Linked DNA regions of Nothobranchius furzeri. The protein of the gene in region 2 purifies or fractionates together with the protein of the main gene of each other region. This does not show direct contact. Links are inferred from orthologs where the notes say so. Each region holds a gene or a part of one and is shown on either strand. Other genes may lie near its edges.

Evidence for each region.
Region 1: the proteins of get3 (region 2) and ubl4a purify together in Homo sapiens (affinity purification with mass spectrometry; 4 studies listed by BioGRID and IntAct, with this or other methods). This does not show direct contact. The link is inferred for Nothobranchius furzeri from reciprocal best matches to the Homo sapiens genes GET3 and UBL4A.
Region 3: the proteins of get3 (region 2) and bag6 purify together in Homo sapiens (co-immunoprecipitation; 5 studies listed by BioGRID and IntAct, with this or other methods). This does not show direct contact. The link is inferred for Nothobranchius furzeri from reciprocal best matches to the Homo sapiens genes GET3 and BAG6.

The regions. Positions count from the first base shown.
Region 1 is NC_091757.1:40,380,151-40,384,520, forward strand, and holds the start of ubl4a (ubiquitin-like protein 4A), read right to left. Parts: upstream 2,856-4,370; 5' UTR 2,666-2,855; coding exon 2,618-2,665; intron 1-2,617. Other genes in the region: prkg1l (cGMP-dependent protein kinase 1), read left to right, coding at 4,226-4,370. UniProt on the Homo sapiens protein: As part of a cytosolic protein quality control complex, the BAG6/BAT3 complex, maintains misfolded and hydrophobic patches-containing proteins in a soluble state and participates in their proper delivery to the endoplasmic reticulum or alternatively can promote their sorting to the proteasome where they undergo degradation.
Region 2 is NC_091746.1:25,391,924-25,396,166, forward strand, and holds the start of get3 (ATPase GET3), read right to left. Parts: upstream 2,895-4,243; 5' UTR 2,469-2,894; coding exon 2,320-2,468; intron 1-2,319.
Region 3 is NC_091745.1:60,794,726-60,798,375, reverse strand, and holds part of bag6 (large proline-rich protein BAG6), read right to left. Parts: intron 3,503-3,650; coding exon 3,370-3,502; intron 2,459-3,369; coding exon 2,258-2,458; intron 2,178-2,257; coding exon 1,955-2,177; intron 1,676-1,954; coding exon 1,625-1,675; intron 1-1,624. UniProt on the Homo sapiens protein: ATP-independent molecular chaperone preventing the aggregation of misfolded and hydrophobic patches-containing proteins.

The DNA.
Region 1 (4,370 bases), on a different chromosome or scaffold from region 2:
AAGCCAGGTCCTTAGTCAACTTAAAGTTGCGCACAATTTTCCGCAAAGTTTTCTTTCATGAATTCCAAAGTTTGCGTGGAAAATTGCTTGCGCAGTTTTCCAACCCCGTTGTGCGTGGCCCCTGGACTTTAAATATTCTGACTAAAACTGTCAGTGTTGTGCCGTCGTCCGGTAAAACCTCTTCACTACATTTAAATTTAAACCTGCCACTGCTATTGGCTAAGAGGTATGCAATGACGTTAGCTAGTACATTTTGATGTCACAATGCTTTTGTGAGCCTGTTTGTGTTTATTTGTTAGCGGCTCCGCTCTCTCGGTCTGCCAGGCAACAGCATTTGTTGCATTTTTCAAAGATGAAGTGGGAGTAACGTGAATTTCTTGTAGGGGGTGACTAACTCTTTAAAAAGCAAGTTGCAGGTAACATATTTTTTTCTAATTCATATAAAATGCTGTCCAAACATACTCTTTGAAATGCTTATTGTGGATATTTGGTTTAAAAACAGCAGTTTTCTAGTAAAAAGTGGCCTCTCTCAGCAAAGCTTCTAAAAAGGCTCTTTTTTTCTAAATCTGAACCTCTGATGTAACCAAAGGGAGTTAGAAGCTAGGCGCTGCCTCAGCTCTGTGTGGAGAGTGGGTAGTTTTAGGGTAGAGCGGTCATGTTATCCAGTCAGCGTGTGTGTTTACTAGTTTTGGATTGTGTTCATGTTGATAAACTATAGTTTGTGAAGGCTGTACCAACTCCAGCCTTTCTGGACATCGAGTCCACGGGTTTCCAGATAAGAGAAACTACGCCTCTATCTCACATGCCTGAGGGCGTTTTGTGCAGCTGAAAAGACGGGACTTCTGTAGCCCAAATCGGTTGGTACAGAGACAGGGAGGTCTGCGCTGGGCTCTGGAGACCCGTGGCAGGGTTTAAAAAAGTACATTCAGATTTCTGGAACTCAGATCACCGTCAGAACCAGGTCAGAACCGACCACCAGAAGAGACAGGCGGCTCAGCGGGCCAGCTGTTTTTTTTTTTGGTCCATCATAAGTATAATTACAAACATTTAAAGTTTCCTCTGTGTCAGAGCCGACATTAGGATCTACATTTTTCTCTAGATTAAGCTAACAGGACCCCGTCGGCTGACTTGGTTTGGCAAAGAAATAAAAAAAAAACTCTCTCACAAAAATGACTCTAAAAGCCTAAATAATTTATGAATGTGTAAAAAAAAGTTTAAAACGAGTTGCTATTATGTTTCTCTAAACATTGGTTTATTTGAGTCTCTAACCTGCAATTTGCTCTTTAAGCAAAAGCATTATTTATTTGTGGTGTTTTAATCCAGCTAAATATACAAACTTATACTCATTACTGCACCACAGTTGTGTTTTTTGTACAGGATTAAATAATGTAGAATAATTACTAGCCTGTTATAATTTTTGCTGCATTTTCACACCAGAAAATGGTTAAAAGCAGAGACAGAAGACTGGTTCTTTGTGTGAGTTTGGATATAAGGACAGGAAGCACTGAGAGGAAGTAAAAGAAGCACAAGCAACTGAGACGAAAGTGACGCAGTAACAAAGTTTAGGCAATTAACTTTGCATCAACTTCATGTATCATTTTTTAAATAAACTCACTGTTGGTAATGACATTTTCTGTTTATTTAGGAAACAGAGAAGGGTATTATAGACAGGTTTCTCGAGTCGCTAGCAAACATTAATGAGACTGGATTCAGCCAGAGGGAAGAATAATGAGATTCTTTAAGCTGCCGACTCAAAAATGAAACGAATTTCAATGAATATGTTATTCTGAAGGGCAAAGTTTAAATCAGGCTTGTGAGAAATGTAAATGACAACTTTTGAATTTGCTCACCGTGATTTCGTTGTCCTAATTTACATAAATTAGAAAATGTCTCGGCTGTGGTGCGCTGTTGGCTCAAACCCCAGACCTACTTAAATCTGTAAAATCATTATAAACAAGAAATTAAAAGCGTATCAATTATTTCTGTGTGTAGTAACACGGGATTGAGTTACGCAAGATCAGACTCTTCACATCTTAAAGACAAAGGTAGACGCCACAATGATTTGGGAATTTAGTTTACCTCAGCTATTAAAATACAACCTTTTGATTGTCACGCGACGGTGCTTTAAAAGATCGAAGTGTTTACAAATGAGTAAACACATCTAATTTCCAAATGTTGAAATTGAATGGAATCTGCACGTTTACGAATTAAAAACGGAATGCTTTGGTTTAAAAACTAAAGTTCTGGGTGATTTCCCTGTTACGATCACCATAGCAACCATACTCCAAGCTAACATTTGTCCAAGTCATACAGTCACGCACAACCTTCCACTTTAATAAATACAACCAATAAAGCATAAAAACGTGCATTTTTAAGGCCTCCTGTGACATTAGTGTTAACTAGCAGGACAGCTTCGGTAGAGATAACGTTTAAACTCGTCTCAGATGTTTATGTTTAACCGGTTTAACCCCACATAACCTACATAGAATGGTGTGTTTTGTCTAATTTCCTGACTAAAGAAGCATATATGTTCTCCCTTTACTTGCAAACTAATATGATAAATAACCATCGGTGTGCTGGCTACACCGGCAGTTAGCATCATGATGCGTTAACTCACCTGAATGTTACATTCCAGTCCTGAAAGCGGCTTCACCGTGATAATCATTATGAGAGCCGCAAAAATATCAAACCAAACACACGCGAAGAGGTTCAAACTTTAAATGATTTAAAATGTACCCAAATAACGTTACTTTAGTGGTTGGTAACGAGCAAACAGATTGTTCTCTTCTCAGTGGAACGTCTTCTTCTTTTTTCTTCTTCTGCGACTCTCCTCTGTTTCTTCTGCAGCTACTGCTTGCTCTCAACTGACAACAGCGCCACCGTCTGGCAGGAATATCTCAGCCCTTCAAACAAAACTGGAAAACAACAGAAATCTGCATTTCAAACGTAGAAAATTATGTTTAAAAAATCACAATTGATTCAAACACACTTGTGAAAATCAGCATATTTCACCTGCAGTAGTCGTCTAACATCAAGCCTATTCTGTCCGCCCGAGAAAATAAAACAGGCTTTTAATTTCACAGCCGAAATACCCCCAAATACCCCGATTAGACTTTTGTGAAACAGCTTCAAGTTTGCTTGTTTTAAATATATCGCCTTTGTTCTTATTTTTATTATGTTTCCTCACGAACTCACACTTCCATATTCGAGCAAAAATGAATTTGACACAAAACAACGCTGAGTAGCAATTACATTGAATTGCAATGTGTTGCCAAATAAAACATATAAAATAAATCACAGATTAACGTAAAACGGACCTATTGAAATGGAGCACAAACGCCTCATTGGACAGAAGAAGGAGCTATCAGAGTGCACACAGATAACCTTTGATTTGTTTTAGCTGGGGGGAAAGGCTATTCTCAGTTTGACGCTCCCCATTGGTTCCGATGGACTCCGAGGACCGTCTGACCCAATTCGGATCCAGTCCACGCATTTGTCATTACCTCTCCCCTCCCGTATGGATGGTCTCCGAGATGTTGGTCACGTGACTGCCTGTCTACGCTGCCTGCTCAGTCCCGGCCAGCAGGAGAAGCATCTTTCACTCGGGCACTTGCAGGAGAGATGTACACACCTGTCGGATGGACGGAGTCAAATAAGCACGCACTCACGGGAGTGAGGAAGAGGTACTGATCGATACCCAGACTGCACGTGGTAAGTGATGAGTGTCTGAAACACTATTATAGTCTTACTGGAGCATGCAAAACACATTTCATTTGTTATCTATCTATCTATCTATCTATCTATCTATCTATCTATCTATCTATCTATCTATCTATCTATCTATCTATCTATCATCTATCTATCTATCTATCTATCTATCTATCTATCTATCTATCTATCTATCTATCTATCTATCTATCTATCTATCTATCTATCTATCTATCTATCTATCTATCTATATATCATCTATCTATCTATCTATCTATCTATCTATCTATCTATCTATCTATCTATCTATCTATATATCATCTATCTATCTATCTATCTATCTATCTATCTATCTATCTATCTATCTATCTATCTATCTATCTATCTATCTATCTATCTATCTATCTATCTATCTATCTATCTATCTATCTATCTATCTATCTATCTATCTATCATCTATCTATCTGTCTGTCTGTCTGTCTGTCTGTCTGTCTGTCTGTCTGTCTGTCTACAGGTGATGGGAACTCTTCGGGACCTCCAGTTTGCCCTGCAGCTGAAGATCGAGGAGCTCCGTCAAAGGGACACGTTGATAGATGAGTTGGAGCTGGAGTTGGACACAAAGGATGAACTCATCCGGAGACTGCAGGAAGAGCTGGATCGTT
Region 2 (4,243 bases):
GTCCCCCACTGCTCTCGGGACGTGGTCAAAGCTCTGCCGGAGGTGGGAGTTGAAGACCGTCTTGACAGGTTCTTCTGCCAGGCGTTCCCAGCAGACCCTCACTATGCGTTTGGGTCTGCCAGGTCTACGCTGCATGTTCCCTTGCCATCTGATCCAACTCACCACCAGGTGGTGATCAGTTGACAGCTCCGCCCCTCTCTTCACTCGGGTGTCCAAAACATACGGCCGCAGGTCAGATGATACGACTACAAAATCTATCATCGACCTGCGACCTAGGCTGCCCTGGTACCAAGTGTACCGGTGGGCATCCTTATGTTCGAACATGGTGTTCGTTATGGCCAAACTGCGGCTTGCACAGAAGTCCAATAACAAAACACCGCTCGAGTTCAGATTAGGTGGGCCGTTCCTCCCAATCACACCCCTCCAGGTCAAGCTGTCATTGCCCACGTGAGCATTGAAGTCCCTCAGCAGGACAATGGAGTCCCCTGATGGAGCACTATCTAGCACTCGTCCCAGGGACTCCAAAAAGGGTGGGTACTCTGAACTGAAATTTGGCCCATAAGCACAAACAACAGTCAGGACCCGTTCCCCGACCCGAAGGCGCAAGGAAGCTACCCTCTTGTCCCCCGGGGTAAACCCCAACACACAGGCAGAGAGTCTCGGGGCTAACAAAAAGCCAACCCCAGCCCTCCGCCTCTCACCCGGAGCAACTCCAGCAAAGTAGAGTGTCCAACCCCTCTCCAGGTCTCGGGTTCCAGAGCCAATGCAATGTGTCGAAGTGAGTCCGACTATATCTAGCCGGTACCGCTCAACCTCTGCCACAAGCTCCGGCTCCTTCCCCGCCAGCGAGGTGACGTTCCATGTCCCAAAAACTAGTTTTCTTGTCCGGGGATTGGACCGCCAAGGCTCCCGCCTTGGTCTGCCACCCGATTCGCATTGCACCGGACCCTTCATGTTCCTCCTGCGGGTGGTGGGTCCACAGTTGGACGAGCCCATGTATCCGGTTCGGGCTGGGCCCGGCCGGGCCCCATGGGCGAAAGCCCGGCCACCAGGCGCTCGCTCACGGGCCCCAACCCCAGGCCTGACTCCAGGGTGGGACCCCGGTAACCCTCCGGGCCGGGTACTCCGACTCTTCGTTTTAACCGCCATGAAAGATCCTTCGAACCGTTCTTTGTCTCACCCTTCACCTAAGACCAATTTGTCATGGGAGACCCTACCAGGGGCACTAAGTGCCCCAGACAACATAGCTCCTAGGATCATTAGGGCACTCAAACTCCTCCACCACGATAAGGTGACGGTTCAAGGAGGTGTTCATGTGGTGTAAAGATAAAGAAGATGCAAGACCGCATTAAACATCAGTAAAAGGAACGCTCGTGTCTCTCGTGTATGTGAACAAGCCGGCACAAAGGGGTTAATTTTTACAAAATGACTAAAATGCTTCTTACACTATCCACTTTTTTTCTCCATAAAATAAATTAACAGTAGCTAACATGGACAGACTGAATCAGCTGTTGAAATGCGCGTTGGTAAGAAAATTCGACGAGGAAGCACATAGTCATAACACCGGAATCGTTTTCCAAATCTGAGAGATGACCTCTAATAATTTATCTACAGCTGATTGTTTACAGTATCAACACTTTCTCCTTGATCTTTCCTCCTTCTTCCATTTTTAATGTCACAAAATGCTGCCGTCTATCAGAAAAGCCTTCAGAAATCCAGGAGAAGTGTTGATTATGTCTTTAAACAAAGGATGGATAAAAGACGGAGAACCTTATGCAGAAGGCTGTACACTTGGCCTATCAACGTATATCTGGTTCATATCGAACAAATAAAGTTGATAAAAGTTTAGAAAGTGACTTAAAACCTTCACAAGTTTTCCAAAACAACTGAACGAAACGAACATGTTCATAAGGCTTTTCAAACACGGGCACGTGTGATGAATTGTATTCCCTTGGGTCCATCACTGATTTACTCTCGAGTGTTTGGGCTGAAGCAACATCTGCAGATAGTCCAACAGGTTCCATCGTGATTCTTGTTCAAACAGCTGAAAACAAGTAGCTAAAACCTGATGAATGCATGTGTCATCTTGCTAACTTTAGCTGCTGACTGGGCTAGAAAGCGTTCAGTTGTCGACAATCATCGAACGATGATACTTTACTTGACACACAACATGAAGACTTTAGTTTAAAATCGGTACAATGTTAAGAAAAAGGCCTGCCCCTTTATTTTACTGAAACTGACACATGTCAAATTCTGAGTTGACACCTAGCTAGCTGCGTTAGCTAGCTCAGGTCGATGTGAGCACTTCCTGTACTTTACCTGCAGGTGGTTTTACCGACACCACCTTTCCCACCAACAAAGATCCATTTCAGTGACTTCTGTTCGATGATATTCTTCAGAGTTGGCTCTAAAGGCTCCACGTCGGGCGCATCTTCGAATTCGTCTTCCATCGCAGAAGCGGCAGCCATCTTGCTTGTACACAGACAAGACCGGTGCGTTCAAGGCTCCTCGGAATTCCGAACAGTCCAGCGGGTGTTTATGCGTTAGTTGTGAGTAGCTCTTGAGATGCTACTGGCTATTTTTATTCATTTAATTACCTTTAATGTTATTTTAGACTTTGTAAACTGAGTATCATACACGTGTGATCAAAAGAAAAGCGTTAAAGCACACAAACTAAAAAGACAACATCCTGAAAAAATTGTAGTTTACAAGTTCTGCCTCTGGATGAATCGTCACGTGACGTGGGGTGCGTTTGTTGACAGGGTACTTTTGCCAATGAAACACCATCATGGTGGTCTTCCATCAGACCACCAGTGAAATCTATAAAATATGAATCTGTTGGATGACATAATAGACTTCTTCATAGTTAGTTTGTACAAAGAATATTCTTTTGCCCCTTTTAACAGTCTTACTCTTTTATACTTTTTAATTTTTTGTTGTCATGAAGCGATTTGCGATTATTGAGAGGTGCTATGTAAAAAATGTTTTTTCTTCTTTCTACCTCCTAAAAGTCATGATTGTTAAAAAGATAAATTTATGTGCACACACAACAAAGAAGTGGTGCCAAATTTAAGGCAACATTTTTTTTAGTTTTACTGTTGTTGCGGAAGTGTTTTATCATCTTATTATTGTTTAAGTGATAAATGAGGTAATGTTGTTGGGTTTATAGCAACAGAGGTTGTAACTGGATTTTAAAATGTGCAATAATTTGTTAAGAAAACACTTTTGGTGTTTTAAGCAACATTTGTGTATCATTATCTTGATAATTGGTACAATACCAAACCAGAAACACGAGGAGAAAGGAAACTTAATGTAGTGTTTTTTATCTAAAAATAAATCTTAATTCTTAAAAACTTTTACTTTATTTGTTTGATTGAAATAATTTTTTTATATATTTTTATTTTATTCCGTTATTTTTAATAGTTTTATTTGAAAACGTTTCTTTGTTGCATTATACATATATTCTCCTCCTTTATATTCTACATAAAGCTGCCTTTTATTAGATAAACCTGTTTTAACCCATTACAACTTTTTTTCTTAGTTCTAGTTGATACAAAACATGTTCATGAAGTTTTCTATACAAAATTCCTCACAGCAGCATTATTCTTAACCGTTTTAATACCTTCCAGAATGAGCCGTTTCAAGGATCTGTCACTTTAAGAAAACAAGCTGGAGCTGGCCACACCCACTCGTCACCTGATATGCTGCTGTAAGCTGAGAGGCTCAGAGTAGAGCTGCTTTTTCTCCAGCCTAGAGAGGCAAGGGAGGGTCCCGCCAGTTTGTGATGTCACAAACAGGGACTTTTTGAAATGGCTGTTAAAGGCTATTCATTTTTAAAATCAAACACTGACAGACAGAATATGCATGGACGTTAACATTTGGAGTGTTTATAGAGGCAGCAAAGACTGTCATGGCAGCACTTTAGGGTTCTACAACCCCCCAAGGCACTTCACAACACTGTAGTGATCTATAGTTTGTATATTTATACACTGTAATTAGAGCTAAATATTATAATCAGAAGTGGTTGTTTTTATCATCAGGGAGTTTACTTAAACACTCTGTATTGACTGAGAGACAAGAAAAGAGAGAGTTGGGATCGTTTAAGAATCTTTAATTTTTATAATTATAAATTCTTACAATCTACCAGGACTATCTCAATGATGAATGCATACGTATTTGAATGTTATAGTGTTGGTGTGTGTGTGTGTGGTTCAGAATCTCTAGGCTGACGTAGCGAATCTGG
Region 3 (3,650 bases), on a different chromosome or scaffold from region 2:
GCCATTCGTGTCAGCGGACACGGTAGGGTCTGGGAGGGGGGCGGGGCATGACGCTTAGCCTGGCGGGCCGCCAGACTTATAAAGCACTGGGGGAAACCCTGCACATCATCGTCGGAACAAAGAACCTGTAAATGTTGGGGGGAAATTAGACTCGAATTGGGCGGGTTCAAATGGCGATGGAGCAAGGCAGGAACGACTGGTTTGGTCTGAACTCTGAACTTCTCTCTATTGGATGGATCATCCACCAACCACATCAATACTGTACCGGTCCATGTACCAGTTCGAGTTAATTTACAGAGTACAACTTACAAAGCATTCAGTCCCACTAGAGACCACTGCAAATGTATCGATTAAACAAGTGAACCGCACCTTTAAAACAAAGAGTTGAAGAGGTATTCAAGCTAATCTGAAGTGTATGATTAATATTGAGTTCACATTTTTCTGATCCTGCACATCACAGATAAGACTCGTGAGCAGCCTTTCTTCTTAGAAAATGTAACATCTTTGATGACTGATAAGTAGGGTTGGGCATCAAGCATCGATTGGAACCGGGACCGACTTTAAAAGTTTTTTTTTTTATTTTGATTCCTAGCATGCCGACCAGAAGAGGAATTTGCAGCCGATCTCCGTGAAAAATAAACCTGATCTGCAAATTGTGATCAAAACCTTTCAGAGCTGATCACACCAGCTGTCTGTGTGCAGCACCGAGCCCCCCTGACTTTAATGTTTAAAATCGGTTAGATTGTTACTGACAAGCAGCTTCATTTAGGTTTCAGTTTCTGTTCTGACTGAATGCTGCTGCAGCATGGAGGTGTAGTTGTCAGTCATCCTGGACATGATCATCCTGAGAGTTTTAGCTGAAAACAGCTGGACGTTTCTGGATATGTTGGAGACATTTAGCCTCTCATCCCAGAGGCTTCTTCCAGACTTTGGTTGTGGTCAGAAACAAACACACTGGTTGTGCTGCAAGTCTTTTTCTTTTTATCTCCAAAACATGTTTTTGTCTAAATGAAGGTGATGTTAGTGTTCATAGAATTAAAATTCATGTTGAAGTTAAGATTATTTCATTCAAGTAGAACCTGTGGTTGGCTAGCTCGTTTAAAACATGTAATGTCTTAAAAGAATCGGAATCAGGAATCAATAGGAACAGGAATCGAAACGAGGAATCGGAATCGTTCAAAATCAAACGATGCCCAACCCTACGATAAGCAAAAAGCCAACTCAGAGTGGACAAGTGTGTTGCAGCCAACTTCAAATCCCAAACTTTAACCTCTCCATCATTTTTGGTTTCATATCCTGTGGTTGTTTGCATGGATTTCGGCAATTATTTACAAATGTAAACATCTCCAGGTGAATGTAGCGCTTCCAGGCCATCCTGGACTCGAGTCCCGCAGGAAGTTCTAAATAGTCTGATTCAAACTAAAAAGTCACATTTTATGAACTAAACTGCTGAAAAATCCAGATCAGAGTTGCTTACTTGGACTAGCCGTTAGCTTATCAGTCCTCAAAGTGTTAAACTTTTTCTGTGACCAAAGGCCAGTCAGAAACAGGTAAGGCAGGATTTATTTAGAACTTTTATAAAGTAACAAGAATCTTGGATCCAGTTAGAGTGGGGACTCTTTACCTGGCTGTCCGGGCATTTGTGGAGTACCTGCAGCTGAGTTTCCACTTGGGCCTGCAAATAACAGAAATAAACAGAAAAACTAGTATCAAGTGCTTTGGAAAAGCTCTACACAAGTGCAAGTCATTTATAATTACAACCCAAACAATCTATGCAGTTTTTCTAACAATGTGCCTTTCCAACATCAGAGTCATGGCTGGTTTAACAAACATGGGAGAAAACTTCTCATTAGTCTGGTTAGATCCACGCTTCGTCTTTCAGCAACTCTTATGGATGAAGTCCTCTGAGACACAAACACAGGACTCAATCAGTGGCGGGGAGGGGACAACACACCGTCCGTGTTCATCTGCATCATGACCACCGGGACTGCCTGGTGGCTGATCCTGATGACCCGGGGGCCAGCCTGTCCCTGTCCAGCCTGCTGATTGGACGGGGTAGTCTGTGAGGGGGAGGTCTGTCCCTGACCTGCCTGCTCCGACTGGCTGGCTGGCTGGGTGGGCGGAGTTTGTCCCTCAGTGCTGTTACCTGCAACAGTCACTGTGGCACCCAAGTTCATCTGTGGGTGACAGAAGCTCATTCAGTGTGGCGCAACCAGAGACACAACACCAATCAGCTGAACACCCCAACACCTCGTACTTGCACTGGGATGTGATGGTGCACGGCTCCAGGGAGGGTGACGGGGCTGGTGTAGTGAGAAAATGGCCGCATCACATGAAGGTGACGAGGGACTGGAGTCATGAGGTTCAGCCGCAGGTCACTCAGGGCAACCAGGGCGTTGCCAAGGAGACGAAAACACTCACAAATCTGGAAGAGTGTTCTTTGGTCTTCCTCTCTTTCCTGTGTGAAAAAAAAAAATCTGCTTTTAGTTCATGTTAGATGTTTAAAACCCTTTAGAACAAGAACCAAAAGCGATTTCACCTCAGGATAAGTAAAACAGAGCTAACCACATTCATAACAAAAACTACATATGCATCTAAGGTTGCATTATTTCGTCTTTTAAAACAAAGCTAAAATCACCAACAAGCTGGTTGACTAATTATTAAAGGTAGATGTTCAAGATTCAAGATGATTTTTGTTGTCATTGCACACGTCAACGACACTGACTTTGTGCTCATTAACTCATTCCCTGCCAGCCGTTTCCTGATTGCCAGCGGTTTTCGCCGTCACAGAACGTTACGCGCTACGATGATGTCAACGCCAAAACTACCACAACAAAGAGTAAACTCACCTCTTACATCAAGAAGAATCCACAAGTTTCCAGCGTTATCCGTTCTTTCATAATCCGTTGTCGAATTGTGATCGGCAGAAGCTTTTCCGGTTCGCGCCTCACTTATTTTACAGCAACGGTCCAAAACGATCTCCTAACACATGGGTTTTCTGCTTACTGATCACGTGACGTGTAACGTACGTGGATGAAGATCGACTTTAGAGCTGGGATGTTTGTTCACGCGGTGCGGGGGCTCGTTCGGACGCCCACACAGTAAAAAAATGCAAACGACGAATTTAGTCGTCAATGGCAGTGAATGAGTTAAAGACAGCTCATGTAAGGAGGTAGTAAAATATAAGCTACATAAAATAACAAGGCTAAAATAGAAGTCATGCCCACACAATCACACACACACACTGAGCCAGTTTAAGGAGCAAAATAATTTGAAGTATGTGCTGCTGATTCAGAAGTGTACGGATCTAAAAGCAGCTCTTCTGGTCATTCAGATGTATTTATGGTGGCGGGAGAGTTTGGACCCTACCGTGTTGTTGTTGTACTCTGCCGTGGTGGCCGTCTCCAGAATAGTGTGACCCCTCTGGATAAAAGGCTGCAGCCTCTCTTCAACTCGCCGCAGTTCAGACAGCATCTCTGCCAGTTCAGCTGGACTGGGATGACTGGAGGAGGACAAGAAAACAAACTGGTCAGAGTGACGGAAACCCATTACACGTTAAAAACAACCGCACCAGTTCAGATGAGGCTGTTTGACACATTTATAGAATTACCGAAGACTGGTCGTGTGAACTATAACTAATTCCCTCGAAC